2 linked regions of the Tamandua tetradactyla genome follow. The main gene of each other region encodes a partner of the protein of the gene in region 2 in a complex. Links are inferred from orthologs where the notes say so. Each region holds a gene or a part of one and is shown on either strand. Other genes may lie near its edges.

What was found. Proteins that work in one complex are often made in the same cells at the same time.
Region 1: the proteins of CCND1 (region 2) and AMBRA1 are in contact, whole or in part, in a cryo-EM structure (PDB 9IVD), measured with the Homo sapiens proteins. The link is inferred for Tamandua tetradactyla from reciprocal best matches to the Homo sapiens genes CCND1 and AMBRA1. Residues at the interface, in NP_444284.1 of Homo sapiens: Thr286, Pro287, Thr288, Asp289, Val290, Arg291, Val293, Asp294, Ile295; in NP_001354397.1 of Homo sapiens: Arg54, Ser55, Phe57, Val73, His75, Arg96, Thr97, Trp99, Leu116, Ala139, Arg184, Ile945, Asn1012, Asn1029.

What each region holds. Positions count from the first base shown.
Region 1 is NC_135334.1:123,312,729-123,323,235, forward strand, and holds the start of AMBRA1 (activating molecule in BECN1-regulated autophagy protein 1), read right to left. Parts: upstream 4,217-10,507; 5' UTR 3,996-4,216; intron 3,811-3,995; exon of another isoform or gene 3,510-3,810; intron 1-3,509. UniProt on the Homo sapiens protein: Substrate-recognition component of a DCX (DDB1-CUL4-X-box) E3 ubiquitin-protein ligase complex involved in cell cycle control and autophagy.
Region 2 is NC_135335.1:4,928,901-4,939,020, forward strand, and holds the start of CCND1 (G1/S-specific cyclin-D1), read right to left. Parts: upstream 4,284-10,120; 5' UTR 4,050-4,283; coding exon 3,852-4,049; intron 2,283-3,851; coding exon 2,067-2,282; intron 1,491-2,066; coding exon 1,331-1,490; intron 1-1,330. UniProt on the Homo sapiens protein: Regulatory component of the cyclin D1-CDK4 (DC) complex that phosphorylates and inhibits members of the retinoblastoma (RB) protein family including RB1 and regulates the cell-cycle during G(1)/S transition.

The DNA.
Region 1 (10,507 bases), on a different chromosome or scaffold from region 2:
AGATCTTTATAAGTCATACTTATTCTTTACTATGTCATCATACTTTAAGTGACAGGCAAATATTACATGCAGCAGTCTGAAATGAAGACATCGATTGTGATGGCAGCAGAAGAATTTCCTGAATCATGGTATGTCGTGAAAGCAATTTTTTAGGTGGATTAAGAAGTGATGATTGAAGTCTTCAATCCCAGCAAAGACTGGGTGCCCTTCCCACTTCTTCACCCCTCTCTCTGTCAGTTTGCTTTATTCAGTGCATTGATTTCAACCTAAATTTCATTATTTAACAAACACCTGGTGATCTGTTTCCCACTGGAATAAACTCTGCAAGAGCAAAAAACTATCCTGTCTATCTTTTTTATCTCAGTATCTAATGAGTACTCATTAAGTATCTGCTAGATGAATAACAGCTTGAATAGGTAAGGGCTGAAACATACAAGTCACAGTCAATAAATAATTCCAGAAGGTCTGAAAGTGATATTTCATAACTCAGAAAAACACATGAGCACAATACAGAATGAAGAAAAGAAGTTTAGGTAGATTAGTGAAAACTATCAACTCTAAGAGCAAAGGAAGAGACAGAGGATAACCTAGGAAAGCTACTTAGTATACTAGAACAAATTAATCTAAAGATCCACAAGCCAGGACTACCAGAAGAGTTGTGGTAAATACCCTCAGTCTCACCCCATTTCAGTGCAGCACCTAAAACCACTCTCTCTCATGGGCACTTTCTAGCACTCACTCCTTCATCATACATGTTAGTAAGCTCCTCCTCCAGTGCAGGTTTAATGTCTGTCTACCTCTATCTTTCATGATTGTCTGGCATCATTTCATGATGCTGCCTTGAAAGCAACAAGTTGCCAAAGAACCTAAATGACATTGGTCAACTGTTGTAAGATAGCATAGATGTTAACATATGAATAGCAATCTTTTTACCTTGCTTTTTCTACCTTGTTAATCTTTTTTAAACCATTTCACGCACTTTTTCTCAGAAGAAATATTATGACTAATTTTTTTCCCCATTCCTTATATACCCAGAAAAGCATCATAATATGAAGTTCACTAGCTTGGATGGGATTTGAATCCAAGGCAGTACTACACACTGGCTGTGTGATCTTAGTCAAATTATTTACCCTCTCTGAGCTTCAGTATCAATGGGGGAAAAAATATCGGCCCCAGAGGACTGTTATGAGTACGAAATAAGATCACACATGTAAAGAGCATGACACAGTAAATGCTCAATAACAACAATAACCTTCCCTACATCCTCCTTAGTGGTTCTACAAGAATTCTCAACAAATAAGCTGTTAAGCCTAAGACTTAAACCCAGATCTCCTGATTCCTTAATCTATTTTCTTTTCACATCCCACTGGCAGGCTGCCATATACAACTACACATGTAAAACACCTTCTGTTAATAACTTACCACAAAATGTTTATCTTTAATTAGTAACTAATTTTAGCTTTGTGAAAAGAAATAGAAAAAAAATGGATCTAATTAACTTGGGAAGAAAGAAGCTTAAAAAAGATATAAATTTTCCCCAAAACCACAGGACAGGTTGTAAATAACACTTCTGCACAATCAGAAAGTATGGCAAGAAACAAAGATTTCTCGGGGTTTATGAGACACAACTGGAGAAAGAAACAAGAATGACCCTATGATTAAAGGAATTTAAGTTTTGTTTTTTTCTTTTTGTTTCTATAAACCAAACCACTGAGCAAAAAAGTTTGCACCCAATCTCAAAATAACTATCAAGAATTAGGCATATGTTGGAAAAAGATACCTCGGTGTGCTAACAACATAATGTTTTGTCCAATTTCTTTAAGAGGAGAAAGTGCTGTATCATAATATGGGAAGAGTGAGGCAAATTTGTCAATTTAAACTGTCACTAAATCACCAAGTTCCCTGAAAACCATAAATGCTTAGATGCAGTATTAATAAGCAGCATAAAGGAACAAGGCCAAAACAGTTTCATAAGTTTCCTAACTCATATTGAAAATATACAGCATAAACTTTATTCATTAATAAAAATGACATTGTTTTCGAGTGATATACATAACTCCAGTCCAGGCCAAGTAATCCCCAAGAACTCTCCTAATAAAAGAGAATATACTCATATTCTGACCCTTTATATTTCTGAAAGTAAATGCCAGAAGAGAAACCAACCTGGCACTGACAAAACAATACAAGATTTGACCAAGTAAGTTAAAAGGTGAGTGAATTTCTTTCATAAGGCAGAGAAGACCCTAATAAATTCTCCTTGTAACCCTCCCACCATCACCAAATTACTTCTCCTCAATTCAAACATTTGCCGATCATTTTCTATAGAACATAACAAAAGCTTCCTAACATTTCTTTGTGACTTCACAGCAATCTCCACTTATTATTTAGCACTTATTAAGAGCCACTGAAATATCACATGTAACTCTGAATTTTATACACAACTTATTAATCCTTTTCTAAATTCTTTCCTCTGATATAAATTCTTCTCTGCCATAAAAATTTCTTTTCAAAAAGGAAGACTAACTTCCCAATATAGATTCTCCAAAAAATAGTCTGGTGGCTCTTCACTAATTCTTTCCTGGAAGCACTGGGGTCCCTGCAACTAGAAAATGGCTCATGATCGTTCTTGCCAACCTCCCCAAAAATCAGAGGAACAAAAAAACCTTTCCAAACTTCCCATGAGAATTCTAAAAGTGTGCAGAAACACAGACTTGTATAGTTTCCATCCAAGGACCAGTACTTTTACTCTAATCTGTTCTTAAGAGCATTCTCTTATTAATTCTACATACTATGGGAACATAACCTAGAGTGAATTTTAGGCTGATTATTATTTTCAGCAAAGAAGTTGCACAAACCAGGATCACAGACACTGAATCCCATGAAAATAAAATGAGTAAGAATACTTACAGTACTCCCCAAAGTTTCTAAATTATGAGAGCAAATGGAAACATAATGGAGTCCCTAGAATGTTGACTAATTTAAATGCCTAAATATCTGAATGATTTTTACACACAGGTTGTTTTATCTCTACTATATGGAATGACTAAACCACAAATCAAATATGATCAAACCATTTCGAAAGGGAATCCTTGGATTTCCTTTGTATACTTCCTAGAAAGCAAACATTCACAGGACAAACATCTGATTTCAAAATCTTGATCCTCCTCTGTCGGACACTGACCACTTAAAACACCATAGTTGAAAGTTTTCACTAAGAACAAGTTGAAAGGAAGAAGCAAAACGTATCCGCCAGAAAGCAAATTGGACAGCAAACAAAATTATGTACCAAGAAACTGTCATTGCTACTCGCAGTAAAATGACTGAGTCTCTGAAAAGAAAAACGAGCCAAGAGATCAAATGGACCCTTTACTTCTAAAGTCGCCAGTGACAGCATCTATATTCCCAGGAGGGAGGGATCATAGGAAACTAAACGACACATCACTGTATGCATAAAGTGACTGGTAAAATGGGGTAAAAAATAAACTAGTAAGTGACAAAAAGAGACTTACGGTGCCTTTAAAGATCTGCCCGAGGATATAGGGAAAAGTCTCGTCCCAGACCCCAGCCTCAGTTTCCCTACCCAAAATAGGCGAGAACATGACACTTGGCTCACAGGACCTTGTTCCACATGCCTTCACCTACTCAAGCGTCCCTTCAAAGGTCGAACTCAGAGAGGGTCCCCATTGCAAACTGAGTCATGACACCCGGAACCTTAGGAGAGGGAAAAGGAGAACAGAAGGAGGGTCAAAGCGCGCAAAGCTTTATCCGTTCCTGGAAAGCGATTTCCCCCCAAACACATGGGTGCCGACGCTCGCCCTAGACCCAACATACGCCCTCCCTCCCGAGCCACCTCGGGCAGCCCCAGCATCTTTCCCTCCTTTCGGTTCAGTTCCCCACCGCCCCTCCGGCCGCGTCCGGAGCTGCCCGCCCGCCGGCGCCAAGGTCTCCGCCCGCGGCCGAAGGATGCCGGGCCTCCAGGCTCCTCCCGGGCCTACCTGCAAGACGGGCGGGGGTCGCGGTCTGCAGCCAGGCGGGTGGGCTGGGCCACAAAAGGGAAGACGGAGAAGGCAGGAAGGAAGCAGGGAATCTGCTCTACCGACCGGCGGGAGAAAGCAGCCTGAGCGCGGTGCCTCGCGGGTAACTCAGCCCTCGACCGGGCGCCGCCGCTGCGGCTCAGGAGACATCAACCCAGAAGACGGCGCAGAGGATCACCGAACCCACGAACGTCCCAGACATCAATGGAAGAGAGCCCAGGCGGTCGTTCAAGGCTTCGCCGCCGAGCGCCGAAAAACTGCTTGGCTCCAATTCAAAATCTGTTTCCTGTTCAAGGCAAAAGTAAACAAATTCAGATCATTAGCCCTGGAGTTAAGTAGTCGGTGTTTCTGCCATTTTTTTTATGTGTCGGTTGCCCACTAAATTGTTTAGAGAACTGGAGTCTTTCTTGAGAGTGTTGAAGAGCAAATCATAGCTCAATAGCCTTTCTTGTCTAACTGGTTCAGTAACTACCTTAGGTACTTTCAACAGCTACTTATCCCAATTGATAAATCACCTCTTCTGACCCTTATTTTTTCATGGAACACTGTGGTGAATGAATGAGTCCTGAGTTTTCTCCAGCCCTAACATTCTGTAACACATTCGCCAGAATAAGTATATATAGATAGAGAGACACAGAGGCAGAGACAGAATGAGAGAGAATCTAGACTGAGGAGCAAAGGGAATCACCTATACAAAAGCTCCATTAAGCAGTTCCAGTACTGCTTTTTCCCTTTTACTTTCCTCTAAAGGGCTACATATTGATTTAGTTGGCCCCTGAGCCTACCACAGAACCACAGGTGTGCTTCTTACACAGTGGCCAAAGTCTCTGAATTCATTGATAACTGTACTTAATGTGATTTACATAAGCATATATCCTTGTTCTTAAGAATATGCATGAAAGTATTAGGTTTTCAAGTGGAATGATGTATGCAACCTATTTTCAAATGTTTACAAAATAGATTAGATAAATAGACAGTAGACAGTAGAATGACATAACAAATGTGGCAAAATATTTAAAGCTGGTAAATCTGGGTATATGGGTAGGGTCTATATTGGAATTTTCTGTATGGGTTTTGTATCACTTTTGCAACTGTCCTGTAAATTTGAAATTATTTCTAAGTAAAATGTTTTTTTTAAGCCTTTGGGTTTAGAACATGATAAAGTGTATTGACTTTCTCATCATCACAACAATGGCCTTTCTCAGTAATCTTAGTAAACAAAATAATATACTCAACACAAGTATGGATTTATATGTTCATACTAGGCACAATTCAATAAATCACATAGATCCCTACAAATACTGATTACCAATGTGAGCAATAACAGTCTACCCCATCTCCTCCTGAAAAGGGATGAAACTTGGAGAGGACGGAACGTAAAAAAGAAACAAGATAGTCCTAGCCCTAAAAGAGTTTATAATCTAATCACAGTAAAAGTACACATACTTAACAGCATTAGTTTTTTGTGTTTTTTTTTTTTAACAATTTAATGTTATTTTTGTATCTCCTCCTTTTAGTCAGTGAAAGCATTTAAGTCACAACCCAGATACATGATGCAGTAGTTACAGGGTAACACCAAAAATCCACAATATGCAATCCATGAGGTCAAACACTTGGCTACCACTGTTTTAGAGAACTTTTAAATCAAGTAAACAATATAGCAACACTTTATGGAAGTCTAAACAAAGAAACTCTGCTTCCAAAATGCATAATTCTTAAGTGTTCATGTCCCCAAACAGTCCTTGGAAATATAATTTTGAAAGTTTAATTTAAGCACAGATATAATTGTGTTATTGTTTTGTATTTTATCATTTCCCCTGTTGAAGTACTTAATAGATGTCCTCATTAATGGTTGCACAATATTCCACTGAGAGGTTATACTGACAAATACCTACTCCCCATTGTTGAATATTTACATTACATCCAAAGATTTTCTGTGTAACAGGTATTGCTGCACTTGGAAAAAAGGCAGTTATATAACCTTATGTTTAGGCTTTTTCTCACAAACAACAAAAAAGTAACTTATCCCAGGTAAAGTTTTACTTCTCTGTCATGGAGAAGAAATCCAGGGATGTACAGCATAGGATAAATATAGCAATTAGGGGCGAGTTTCTTTCTGTCTTGTAACTTTGCTATCCTCAATTAGTGGCTTCCACCTCAAGTCCAAGATAACTGTTCTAGCTCCAGCCATTATGTCCACATTCCGACCAGAAGGAAGCTAAAAGAGGAATGGCATGTCTCCTAGCACTAAGGACACATCCTGAAAATAATACAGGACTCTTACACATGTATCCTATTGGCCAGAATTTAGTCACATAGCCATGCCTAAGTGTAAAAGAAGCTGGGAATTAGTTTTTATCTTGGGCAGCCATGTTCCCACTAAAGTCAAGTAACATTCCTAGAACCATATGAGGGGCAGGCAAATAGACCTTCCTTTGCAGCCTTCCGGGGGCTGAGTTTCCAATCTAAGATTATGCTTTAGATAAGTTTTCTTCTTGGAGAAACTTGTGGAACATAAGCGTCTAGGGCTTCAGCTCTGATTCAAGCCTGACTCAAATAACTACATCATTTTGAACCTTGACTGCAGTGATAAAGGCTAAAGAAACCAAGTTCAAAGTTACAAGAAGTTTTTGGTTTTCAAAAGCTGGAGACTTTCATTCTGGGGAAATCAGGATGTAATATAAATCTAAAATAATTGTCTGAAAATGGAGATATTTGAGAAGCTATGGCTCTATGAACCTAGACTGATCTTAAGACCATGGAAAAGATGGTTAATTCTGCAAGCAGAGTTGTACCTCTAACAGATAAATTTCCTTTAGAGAACTGTTTTTTTTTAAGCGTGGACTTAAACTTCAGTGTGAGAGCAAACCATTGCTTGTTCTTATGGAGATAAGTATATGGATCGAAATGGTTCTTCACAAGAGATGAGGAATTGAAAACCCCCAAAGCTACAGTAATGCACTCATACAGGAGGAAGACTGAAAAAAGAAATCAAGTGGGCAGAGGTAAAAAGTACCCTGGGCTATACCACTGATGCCCTACTTAAGACTCAATAATTAATTCCTGGGCTGGTTGTTGACTACTGAGTTCTGATAGGATTCCTTTAGTGGAGCCACCCCCTTCAGGGTAGGAAGGTGCTCCCCCTGAAGTACCGTGACCAGTACAGTTTGACCAGCATGCCTAGGACTGAGGGATTTTCCAGGACACAGGACTTTCAGTGTTAAACCATGACAGTGTTAGGCAAACCAGGATGGCTGATCACTGTAAGAATGGACCTTGCTAATGTCAATCACATGGAAAGACCAAACCGGGAAGAGAGGATTTAGGTAAGTTGGCCCGGGCAATTGTTGGGGAAGGGGAGCAGAGGGATAGGAATCTGCTATTTTGGCTCTGGGCTCTGAGATACTAGTTCTACTGCACTCCAGGTGGTAGAAATCAGATGTGAACCTAGGGTGAAATAGCTGTGTAAAGCTGTCATATTAGGTATTCCAGGAAGAAGAATTAGATCTTGGCTTTAAGACCTAGTCAAAATGATGAGCCAGTAGTAGATTTTGCTGTTGCAATTCTACTCTGCTCTTCCCTAGCTGTGGCTCTTTGTGCTGCAGGATAATGTACAATTTGGGCAGGAATGGTAAAAGGGAATGCAGTTGCAGTGATGTGGGAGCAGCCCAGGGAGGGGGAGAAAGCTCAGAACAGTAGGAAACCATTGACAGCCGAGTAAGAAGAGGTTCATCCTTCTTTGGAATTTTTATATTCAATAAATTTCCACTGATGGAGTTTATCAGTGAGTTGAAATATATGAACATTTTAAGGTCCAGAATGGCAAAGAAATCAGCTTCTCCATAAAAGATGGTACTATATGTAATGGTTAGAGAAAGTTGCAGTCCCCCCAAAATAATGAATCATTATCAATAATGGCCATGTTCTTTAAATCCATTTAAATCCATTCCTGTTGTAGCTGGATCTTTGGTTAGGTTATTTCAATTGAGATGTGAACCACCCCATTCATGGTACGTTTTAATCCTTTCAACTGAGTCATTTAAGAGAGATGAAACTAAGAAAAGCTAATAGATACAAGCCCTGAAGAAGTTAAGAGAGGATTCCCAGAAGCTCCGAGAGGAAGCCACTGAAGCCAGAAGCTGAAAGCAACACAACCCAGGAAAGAAGGACCAGCAGACGTGGCCATGTGCCTTCCTATGTAACAGAAGAATCCCAGATACCAGAGGCCTTTCTCCAGAGAAGGTATTGTCCTGTTGCTGCCTTAATTTGGACATTTTCATGGACTTAGAACTATAAATTTGTAAGCTAATAATTCCCCATTGTAAAAGCCAACCCATTTCTGGTATATTACATTCCAGCAGCATTAGCAAATAGAAATAACCCCTTTCAAATAGTTGTTTGAAATTTGCTTTCAATTTCTGATTTCCAGGTCTATTTTCCTTTCTTTTGCTGAGTATCCTGAGATCTCATCTGCCAAATGCAGTTATCACAAAGAACCTTATGTTGTAGCCATGTAAAAATAAAACCTGTGATTTTTATGTGTAGGGTAACTGAAGTGGTCCCAGGTCTCAGTTAGTTTTCTTCCTTCCTGCACTGCCATTCCTATAATCAATAGTCTCTTATTTCCACAAAATGTGGACAATCTTTACGGGATCTAGAGAGCATCATGAGCCTTGAGGACATACGCGTATGGAATATTAAGACCCCCTGATTTCTTCCTGAGTCTTTTGTCCTCCTCCTAAAAGCCCCTCCTTTGCCAGGGAAGGCTGATACTAAGCTCAGTTCGTGAGCTGTTCTCAGTTTAGAAGGGCTTTGTGTTTCAGGCAGGGATAAAATCATTAAGTGTGGTGTCTATTTCCCCCTCCTTGCCTCTTACATGTCTTCACTATATGACCCCATTAACATTGTCTTGTTTTTCACCCCTAAATTAATTTAACCTGCTATAATCCCTTTCAGTCCAAGATTAAGGGAAGGAACTCCACCTCTGTTCAGTTCATTTTAAACTAAGAATCTGTTTATGGTTCCCATTCTGTATAATTTAGAATTGGTAAATCAGTGGTTTGAGCCAATATTATAGTTTTCCCTTAATATAGCCTTATCTTTCTAACTTGAAATATCTAAAGGTAAATCTGGAAAATTCCTGTTGGCCAGATGAAGTGATCTGTGGAAAAGAGACTTTTACAACAAAGGCAAAATCCTTAACTTTTTCTCAAAACCATACAGGAAGAGACTATAAAAGTACACTAAGGACTTTAAGGGGAGGAGTCTTCTCAGGCACTTGTAAAAAGCCCCTATGCACAGACCCTGGACGATTTAGTAGGACAGAACCTGACCTCTTCTCTAGAGCATTTTGGAAAAAGCATTTTGGACTGAAAAAAAATCATGGCCTGTAAAAATCTAGGCCTAAAGGAACCTGAAACTGTAGATTTGAAGAGTTACTCAATGGAATTATCAGGGAATAAAATGTTAATTTTATTATTTTAAAAATTATTAAAATATTTTATTAATATATAATTTTAATAATAAATTTTTATTATTAAAAATAACTCCCTAATGGAATTATTAGGGAAAAGCACTGCCAGTCAGCGTTCAGTCAGTTCAGAACTTAGAAATATCTCTGGTGTGTGACAGACTTGAAATTGCTTATGAAACTTCTCCATGATTGTTCCTTCCACTAAGGCTACATGTCACTATCAAGTGAATTAAGTTGTGAAAAACCTCAATTTTTCTTAAATGTAGGTATTTAAGGTTAAAATGCTAAGCACTTTCCATGAATACACCCCACCTTGCCACTTTTGATATCTGGGAGGCAGTAAGCTTTTCCTGACACAATATACATAATAGAACCAAAACTTTATGGGGGAAATACCCACTTGAGGGAGTTTAACAAGGAAAGGCAGTGAGAGTTAAGACACTGCCTTATTAGGGAAACAAAGCATGCATGGGACAAGTAAAACTTTACAAAGAGAAAAAAAAGTGATATGGCATCTGTATGGCACATGCACAACTTTTCCAGCCACCTCTAATTTGCCCACTCTCAACTCAATGACATCGCTGAAAAGATTAAGCTCAACCTCCTGCCAAATGGACCCACTCTTTATAGAGTAGGACAATGATGGGAAATAGCATTTGGAGTAGAAAAAAACAGCAGATAATAATCCTTAGTTGTTTTTAATTTTGGGGGTGAATCACCCTCAATTTATTTCCAAATCTCTTCCGTCACCAGCTGTTCATTTCCTTACTTTGAAAATCACCAGATTAACACTGCCAAACACAGGTAGGAAATGACCCAAAAGGACAGTTCAGAGGTATCACATGGTAAGTGGCTGAGAAACTGGGAACAAGACAATCCTCAGAAAAGTCTTTTTTTCTGTCCCAGTAAAGGCACCAATGTGTGACCCTAAATCATGCTTTCATTATTCCAATCAGGTTATTTTTTATCAGTATGATTTTAGAAAAAGACATGAAGGATT
Region 2 (10,120 bases):
AGCCAGAGAACGCCTCCCTGCCCCGCGCAGGAACAGCCCCCGGAGGCCAAGGAGACCACGGCAGGCAGGAGGCTCCCCAGTCCTGCTTGGGGGCTGGCTCTCCAGGGAGGGCGCCCCACCCTCAAGATCCCTTGGGCCCAATGGCGGCCCTGGCTCCAGCGCGTACTTCCCTAAGCGCCTGGCCTGGAGGAACTCCGAGGGGGTGGCGGGGTGGGGGGAGCAGAAGAATCTCCCCAACTGGCCTCCAAAACAAAAAGGGTTCTGGAGTATCAACCATGGGGACAGCACGGAGGCCAGGGCTGGGGGCTCTGAGTCTTTGGGGGAGGTAGAAGACTCCGGCTGCTCCCTCCCCACTGTGTCTTTGATGCCACCCCCTCTCCTGGTCCTCAAGTCCCCCAGAGTGCCGCCCCCCCCCCCCCAAAAAAAAGATGTGGAAACAGGCCTGATTGGGAAGAGGCAGGCCAGGGCAGAGCTGGGCAGGGTGGGGGGTGGGGACTTCCCTCCACCAAGGGGGTCATTTTTCCTTACCCAGGTGGGAAAAAGGAAAGTGGTCAAGGGGAACTAGGGGGCCAGAGGGAGCAAGACTGCGGGCGCTGATGCACCAAGTTCCCAGAAGCTGCCCGGCGCGGGTCTGTGCCCGGGAGAGGGCTCCGGGGTGGCCGGGAGCCGCCCGGGGAGGCGGGGGTTGGGCCCCTCGCGGCCAGCTTGCAAGCCCCTCCCCAGGGCTGTGCCCTTGGCGGGGCCTCCAGCCGTGGCGCTCAGCGGGCCGCCCCCGCGCGCGCGCGGCGCCGAGCACGTGGTGCAGGCCCTGCCGGCCCGCTGGGGCTCCCCGCCCCGTAGGCGCCCCTGGCAGGTGGCCCAGCCGGGAGAGGCCGGGAGGGGGCCCGCAGCTTGGGCTCCTTGAGGACACGGGAAGGGTTGGACGTGGGGTGGGGGAGGAGGCCCGCCCGGACGCCAAGGTAAACCCCTTCCAGCATGGAGCGGCCACGGCCAGGCCTGCCCAGTCCAGGGAGCGCAGCTGGACGGGGCACCAAGGCACGGGACGGTGGCCACGGTCAGTCTCAGCGGCGTGACCCCTGGAGAGGGCGACACCTCCCTCTCGGTCCTGCCCTCCGGGCAAACAAAGATTCCAACCCCAAACCCCCCTGCTCACTCCGGCGGAGAAAGAGGGGCGCTGCCAGAGAGCAGGAGGGGCCTGGGGAGCATTTCAGAGGGAGGGAGCCAGGCCCTGGGGCCACGCGGCCACCCAGCAAGGAGGGGCGGCGGGCGACCGGCAACTCTGCCTGAGGACCCTCCGGGGAGCACACGGTGGGCGCTAGCCCGCCCCTACCTGTGGCACACAGAGCGACGAACGTCTGGGCGTGTTTGCGAATGATCTGTTTGTTCTCCTCGGCCGCGGGCATTTTGGAGAGGAAGTGTTCAATGAAATCGTGCGGGGTCATCGCGGCCAGGTTCCACTTGAGCTTGTTCACCAGGAGCAGCTCCATTTGCTGGGCACGCGGGGTGGAGGGGAGCAAGGCAGAAAGGGGCGCAACGGTCAGCCGAGGGTCCCAGCCAGCACCCTGGTTTGGGGGGCAGCCCTGGGGGTGGGGGTGGGGTGTCGAGGGATCTGGGAAGTGGGGGCAAGGCTCAGGTCAAAACAGAGAAGGTGCCGCGTGAAACGGCTCCTGTTCGCATTCCCATTAAGCCAACTATTTGCAAGTGGAGACAAAAAGACCTCCCACCATCTGGAAGGAAAAGTCCTGATTCATTAGCGGGCGGCCAGCGCACGCCGCCACCGCAAGAGGGCGCGCGCCGCCCATTTACCGGCCACGCCGCGGGGCGCTAAAGTGGGCCGCAGGGAAAGTGTGGTGCGGGTGGGGGTGGGGGTGGGGGTGGCGAAGACTCGGGGCGCCTGGGGCCCCACCGCCTCCTCCTCCTCCTCCTCCTCCAAGCGCAGCTCCGGGACAGTGTGGCTGCCCTCCTTCGGGGAATACGGCCTGTCAGTGCCGGGCGGGGGACCCCTGCCGCCTGCAGTTCACGGGGTGGCTGTGGGTGGGTGAGTGGGTGGGGGACCCCACGGGTACCAGCAGCTCGTCTGGCCGGATGGAGTTGTCAGTGTAGATGCACAGCTTCTCGGCCGTCAGGGGGATGGTCTCCTTCATTTTGGAAGCTACGAACATGCAGGTGGCTCCCAGCAGCTGCAGGCGGCTCTTCTTCACGGGCTCCAGCGACAGGAAGCGATCCAGATAGTTCATGGCCAAAGGGAAGACCTCCTCCTCGCACTTCTGCTCCTCGCAGACCTGCCGGGGTATCGGGGTGGCGGGTGGGGGAGAGTCCGTGATTGCCGCCGCCGGGACGCGCAGGACCCCTTTACCGCCACCCTGCACCCCCACCCCGCTCGCCCAGGCCGGCCGGTTCCCGCGCGCCGAGAGAGCCGGGGCAGGGGGTGGCAGGAGCTCCCCATGATGCGCCCCCTCCCCGGCGTGCCCCGGGCACCCACACACCCACCCCGAAACTGAAAGGGAAAGTCCCTGCGAGGCTGGCATAGTCTGGACACGAGCGGGCAGGGCTGCGGCGCGCGCGGTGGTGCGGTGTGCCCGGCCCCGGGGACCCCGGCCCGCGTGGGGGTCCGGGAGCGCGCCTGGCCTGGGGTCCGCCACTAAATGGGGTGCTGGGCCGTAGAGCTGGGCGCCGTGCTCTCCGCGCCCGCGAGACACAAAGGTGGCGTCCCAGGCCGCCGCGCCGCATTTCCCCAGACGTCATCTTTTCAAAAAATATTTAAAAATATATAAAAAAAAACTGGCCACATAAAACCCCCCTGAAAATGACCCTCAGGCGGTCCTTTACCCAGTCCAGGCTTCGGGAGCTCGTCGCAGGCTCCACAGAGAGCCCCAGGAATTCAAACTCGGGGGCCCCCCTCCCCCTAGGCGCGGGCTCCGCTTCTCTCTCGCGAGGGCAGCACACCGCACTTTCAAAAATTATTTAAAAATACTAGCGGCCCCCTAGGCGTCCCCAGGAGGCCTGAAAATGTGCCCCAGGTCCCCGGCTCGCTCTGGGCAGCACCCCCAAGCCGACACCCAGACAGACGGGGGTCAATACCGGGCATCTTAGGGGCCACGCGACCTTGCAGCCCGGCGTGCTCTCCGGCCCAGGCTGGCCTTGCGGGGCGCCCCGGGGCTCGCCGCCTGAACAAAAGGGGCCCCCTTCCCGAGCGGGGTCCCCCCCAAAGCTGCCAGCGACCCGTCCCCGCACCCCTTCCGCGGACCGCGCGGCCCCTCGCGGCGGCCCCAGCGCCTTGCCGGCCGCTCCCCGCCCCCACCTTCCCCCCAATTATTAATAAACACTTTTGCTTTGCAATAAAAGAACAAAGATGGCGCATAATACTGGCACGGGCGGCCCTTGCATACGTGTACATGGATATTAATTTAAAAATCAAATCTATACCCCCTTTTCCCTGAGCCGGTGGCTCGGGACCGAAGCGGCCGAGAGAGGCGGCGCAGGAAAAGTCGGGCGCAGGCTGGGGCTGCGCGGTGGCAGCCCAGGAGGGGGGCACAAAAGGCGCCCGGCCTGCCCACCCGCACCCTCGGGCTCACTGGGGTGCCCCGGGCACTGACTCCCCCGGAAGGCACCCTTCGCCCGACCCCCCTCCGGGAGGAAAGGGAACTTCTAACGCCCCCACCCCCATTTCTTCCTCGTTCAAAAACTACCCACGCTGTCGATTTATTTGGAAATTACCGACTGCTGACAACACCCCGGCAAACTTCAAAGCCGGGGTGGGACAGTGGGGCGAACAGACGAGGGGCAAAGAAATCTGGGCAACACGTTGCTGAGGAGTCTCAAATGGGCCTCCCCTCGCAGCAGCCACGCACCTCCAGCATCCAGGTGGCCACGATCTTGCGCATCGACGGCAGGACCTCCTTCTGCACGCACTTGAAGTAGGACACGGAGGGCGCGCAGGTCTCCTCGGCCTTAAGCATGGCCTGCAGCACTCGGTCGGTGAGGAGGTTGGCATCGGGATACGCCCGGCGGATGGCCTCTACCTCGCAGCACAGGAGCTGGTGTTCCATGCTGCCGGCTCTGCTCGGCGGCCTGGGACGCGGTGGGCTCCGGGCTCGGCGCGCGCGCTGCGTCTCCTGCCTGCCCCGCGCTCCCTCGCCGGCTTCTGGCCCTCGCAAGGAGCGCGGCGGACGCTGCTGCTTGCTGCTACTGCGCCGACAGCCCTCTGGAGGCTCCAGGACTTTGCAATTTCGAACAAAACTCCCCTGTAGTCCCTGTGACGTTTACTGTTGTTAAGCAGAGATCAAAGCCCGGCAGAGAATGGGAGCGGGAGGGGGAGGGGGCGGGGGCGGGCGCAGGGGGAGGGGGCGCGGGCTTAGAACCCAAAAGCCATCCCGGAGGCGCCGCGCCTGCCCCGCGGCGGAGTTGCCCCCGAAGCCAGGTTTTCATAGAAATGCAAATCACCCCGCGGCCGTCTTTCTCCCTGCCGGGCAAGAGGGGTGCAGGGGGCGCCCGTTCTGCTAATGTGGGTCCCTGGGATTTGGGGGTGGGGGGGTGGGGATGGCGCTGCAGAGGGGGTCAACTAGGAGGGCGGGCAGGCCACACGCAGTCGGGGGAGACCGCATGGAGGAGGGTCTGGGGCTCGGCGACACCCTATTACCGAGCCGGGAGAGCGCCACGAGGGCACCCACGGGCGGAGGGACGGCTGAGCAATCTCGCTTCTGCATTTTCTTTCATTTTCATTAACACGTGTAAATTTCAGGAACTCTTTACCATGCCAGGACGCCGGGCAGGGCGCAAGCCCGGGTTGAGGCTTCTTTCCGGCGCCCCGGGAGGCACTTATAGAAATGCCTAAGAGGGTTCGGTAAAAGTTAAAGGAACCTATCTCAGCCTCGCCTGGGCTCACGCAAAAAAAATAAATAAATAAAATAAATCCCCGAAAATTCCAGCAGCGGCTCAAGATGGTGGCCAGTATTTCCTTCATCCTGTGTCCTCCTGGCCGGGTTATGTGCGGCATTCTCCCACCTTGACAAGCCCATCCTCGCGGGGTCTCCAAATGCCCCCTGCCTACCCCAATTCCGGCATTTGAACAGGGAGATCAGTACCTCTGAATGGAAGGTTGCAAAGCAGTGGTCTCTGTCCTGCCTCATCTTTTTTTTTTTTAATTGAAAAAGAAATTAAATAATTGGAAATATCAATCGCCTCTCCACCCAGGAGACCACCGGAACTTTCTAGTTGCGTTCGAAGGGCAAGTGGACAGCCCCTCACCATTAGAATTTGCCCTGGGACCGCCTTCGTGAGCCTGAGGCGGTGGTCGGCAGGGGGCTGGTAAATCCAGGACAACTGTAAATTTAAAAAGTGGGTGCATTGATTGATGATTTTTTAACCAAACCACGGTTATAACAATAGGGCCCTCCATATCATCTCAAACTGAAGAAAGATGAATCCACAATAAAATACACAAAGTGCTTTTAATTAAGTATAGACCGTCTCTTTGGTGCCTTTAAAAAGAATTTCTCCATCTCATTTTTTTTTTACAGTTTTTACAGTGTGCCTCAAATTAGGAAAATTGTTCATTTACTTCTCTCTGAATATAGCTGAGTGCTGTAAAACCACTGCATCCCTAGCAGTAAAAGCTCAGAAAAAAACGGATGAAGGGGTGCACGCGGCGAGATCAGATACCACCCTGCTGGGCAGATTTCTCCCGCGCCCCTCCCCCCCCATCCGGGAATTAGGGTGACTATTAGGTCGGGTCCTGGGAGGGTAATTACCCGGGCTCACGCCTTCAAAGCGGAGGGTGGACTCAGCACGGCGCACCCTTCGCCGTCCCCCCTCCCCGGGCACCGCCGAGCCTGCAGAGCCACGGCCCGCGCACGAAGGCGGCGAGGCTGCTTTTTCATTCATAAAATCCGGACCCGGCGGCTGCCCGGGTGATTTATGGGGCCGCGCGCTATAGCCGGACAGCGCCCGTCTCCAGGGGCTCGCGGGCTGGAGCCCCCGCGTGCGCCCCGGCCGGGCCCGAAGCGCGAGGCCGGTCGGCGACGGCGACGGGTAGCGGCGCAGAAAAAGGATCGCCCACTCCGGCAAAACGGGCTCCGGGTGCAGCAGGGAGCTCCCCCCTACCCAGCCGGGAGAAAGGCAGAGGAAACGGGAATTAGCATGAGCCAATGGGGGCGCGGCGCTGTTACTAGGCGGACCGGGCAGATCTCGACCAGCAACTTCGTTGAGGTCCCCGCTCAGGGACCAGCGCAAAAGTGCAAGCCCCGCGGGCAAGCGTGAAGAGCCGTCCAGGAACACGCGGGGGAGGCCCTGGAATTTGGGGCTCGGCGGGGAGCGCCAAGCGCCCAGCCTCCATCCCAGTGAGCCCTGCTAAGCGGCACCCCCTGTCTCCCGAGGGAACCAATAGCTCCGAGTCCTGGGGGGTGGGGGTGGGAGTTGGGGGGGGTGCGATCGCTTAGAGGAGAGCCGAGGGCGCGTTTTGATTTTCATTTCTTTTTTTCCGAAGAGAGAAAAGTAACTTTGCAAAAACTTTTCTCCTGCAGTTTCAACTTCTCACTGTCTTTTTAAAACCCACCACGAAGCAGGAACTGCGAACTCTGAACTTGTTTAAAGTGCTCCATGCTTATTTCATGGTGACCATTTGGGAGACAAAGGTCCGGTGGCCCAAACGGGAGGGTAACCAGGTTGGTTTGAAAGAAAATCCAAAAGTAACTTAAGTCGCCTCCCGCTCTCCTTGCCCCCGGGTCCCCCACGCCGTTGACTGCTGCTGGGGCGGATTGCCGGCCCCGAGAGGACGAATTCCGCGGCAGACACGTGTTTGCCACCGTCCCTGGCTGTGGGAACCTCCATTCAGCGGGGGAAGGGAGCGCGTTCATTCAGGAACCGGCGCGCCACCCGACCGACCCTGGGACGCACCGCGGCTGCGCACCGACTCAACAGGGGGCTTTGGGGAGTGGGGTGATGAACCCATGGGAGGGGCACTCGTCCTCCTCCGGGAGGATCGGGAAGGCGGGCTAGCGGGCGGGCGCACCCAGGTTGGGTCACCTGCAGCCGCATACCTGGCGGCGACTTGAAAGGACTTGGCTCTCGCCCCGCGAGTTTTCCATTGTTAAGCCCTTAAGTAGCGCTGTAGAATGCTTCCGAGTGCCGGCCGCGAGGTTCCGGGGGCGCTCGGGCTCCCCTTCTCCAAAGCTGCTCGCTTTGGGGTGCTCGCGGTTGGCCACGTGCTGCAACAGCTCGGCCAGGCCTACGCGGCGCGGGTCCCCGAGCGTCTCAACGTTGCGGGACAGGGTAGCCGTACGCTGGGAACCGGGTAACCGCACCCCACCCCCACCTCACTGCCTCGAGCTGCGGGGGTACGTTTCCGCCTAAGTCTCACACCAGCTCCCGCCCCCTCGGACAACTCGGGTACCCGCCCCCACTCCCCCAACTCTAACGGCCGCGGGCGAGTTGTGCGCGAGTTAAAGCGAACCTGGGCAGGTCACACTGGGGGTCTGGGGCCCAACGACATCTTTGGGATCCCAAGGGAAAAGGTGCAAACTCTTGGGGGGGTCAAAGAAAATTCTACCTCCCTCCACGCCCGGCACCCTGAGCGATAAGAACCCCAAAGCCAACTAGGAACGCCCCCCTCCCTGGGGCTCACGACTCAGGCCCCTGGGCCTTTCCTGGCCAAAAGGGGCGGGGAGTGGGCGCCCAGTAAACCACCTTCAACCAAGGCAAAGAAATCTGGTGGGGTGGGGGTAACGGCCTCGGTGCACCCACACTTAAAGCGAGGGGCGCAGGGCGCCGCTCGGGGACCCGCGGGGGTCTCGGAAACCTGCGGCCGCGGCGACTCCGCAGCGGGGCTTTCCAGGCGGAGGACCCGCGCCGAGCCCGACGTCGGCTCCAAGGCGCGCGCGCCCCGCACCCCGCGCTCTTCCAGCCGTCTTCCTCCTGCCCCAGATCTGGCCCCGGAGCGCTTTCAGCCTCTGCCTCGGCCCCTGAGATGGATGGAGGGGCGGCCGGGGTCGTTATAAGGGGCGCCTCCGGCTTCTGGGGCTTGCGACACTCTTCTCGGACGGGGATGTGGAGGGAGCTTTCTTTTCCCAAGCTCGGGGGCAGGGGAGTTGCAAAGCTAAGGCCTTGCATCCCTCCCCTGGGTTCCCACCGGCCCGCGCCGTCGGGGTCTGGCAGCGGGGGCGGGGGTCCGGGATCCACTAGGGGGACCTGGGCGCGCGGGGCCCGAGGGGTCGGTCGGTCCGCGCTCCGCCCCCAAAACCTGCCGTGGGCCCCACGCAGGGCTCAGTCTGTCGGGTGCCAGCGCTGGGCGGCCAGGCCAGGGTGTCGCGGGAGGCGAGAGCGCGCGCGCGCCGCTCTGACCCGCTTGGGAGCGAGCGGGGACGCGCCTTGCATTCCGCGCATTCCCGCCCGGCCGCGGTTCCCCAGCCACGTGGTTGCCCTGCGCGCCGCGCCTACCGTAAGGCTTGGAGAAGGCGCGCACCCGCGGCTTCCGAGCGCTGGAGAACCTAATGCGTGCGGGCCGCGGACGCTCAGGTCCCGCCTGCGGGCCCAGCCGGTCCCCGCCCCGCCCGGAGGGATTGCTCTTTTACGTACTAAGCAGAGTTGTGCTGCCGGCGTAATAACCTATTGTAACCCACTGGTATCAGTGAAAGGCTGAGAAACGTCCACCTGAGAACCGCGACAGAACTGACCGGTGACACTTACACCCTCCCAGGAGGGACAGAAATGCGGAAGAGCTCCAGCCGCCTGACAGTTTTCTTCTTTTCCTTGTTATTGAAAATCATTCCGTGGCTCAGGCCAACGTATCCTGCAACTAGGAAGCAGGATCCTAATCAAATAGGAAAAAGTCCTTAAGATGGCTATAAGTATTTTTAAAAATACTTACATTTTTTATGTCTTGAATGGTCTTTTTTTCTCTTGCACTCTCCTTTTTTCTGAGTGTCAGTTTAAGTTAAAGAATTGAGCTTATGGCCAGGTCAAGTTCGGGGTCCCACCCACGGGGACCCTGGTGCTCTGTGAAGCCCCAGGCTTGGGCAGGTGGGAGAGATTTCGAGAAGGTTCAGGAAGGCATCTCCCTGTTCCCTGCTTGGACAGGGGGCTCCCCCTGCAATCACTTGGAGGCAAAGTGTCGACTTCCTGACCACATGGCAGGGCCTAGTGTCAGGGACCAGTGTCCAGCTTCTCCGAAGCCTGTGTCTTGTGGGGTTGGGAGAAAAAGCTTCCACCCACACAGAGGCCTCGCTCCTCACTTGGACAAAGTGTTTGCCCTGGGCAAGCCATTTTGACAAACGTCCTTTTTACACAATCTTCAAAACAAGGCCTCAGGAAGCCCATTTAATGGGTGGGGGAAACTGAGGCCTGGGGAGGTGGGGTACGTTGCCCAGGTTGACACGGTTGGCATAGGGATGGCATGGCTGTCGGAGCCCACACGCTTAACCACCACTTCTGTGTCAGAACAGATCCAGGTTTCTTAGAAGCAAATCACAATGATAATCCGCTTTCTCAAGAATTCAGGTGAAACCAAGCCGCTTCTTTTTCAAGATGCCGAGAAGTTTGCCACACTATCCATGAAAACAGTGCAAGGGACTCACACGAATTCCCAGATCCTCCAGTAGCTGTGCCATCTTCCCAGGTGTCTATCTGCATCTGTGAAATGGGGTGTCATAGCATCCCCGAGGAGGCAAGGCCGGAAGGAGTTAAGGTAACGCCTGCCACTAAATTTATTCCTTCGTCAATTTGTCCTTCTGTGGCATGGTGGCCGTGTGATGCATGCTGAATGCAGAATTAAACATCTGGCTATGTTCAGAAAGAGGACTTTTCAAATGGTTTTCTAATCTATAAACTTGCTTTTATTCATTCACTTCTGAGCTGTGGACGGGAGACTCAGATCGTGGAGCGGATTTCTGAAAAAGGCGAAGCACATTCATCTTCCTTCATCCCTGACTCCTCTGCCTCCACACCCTGCAAAAGTTGTTAAAAGTTAATGGAAAAGAAACACAGGCATCCAGGGCTGGAGAAGCGACACCAGGACAAAGGGCAGAAACCACAGGGCTGGTCTCTGCTGGGACAGCGAGGCCCACTGTCTGAGGCTCTCCGGGGTCTCGGGGTGGGCCCAGCGAGTCTCAGACGGTGCCTGGGCCCC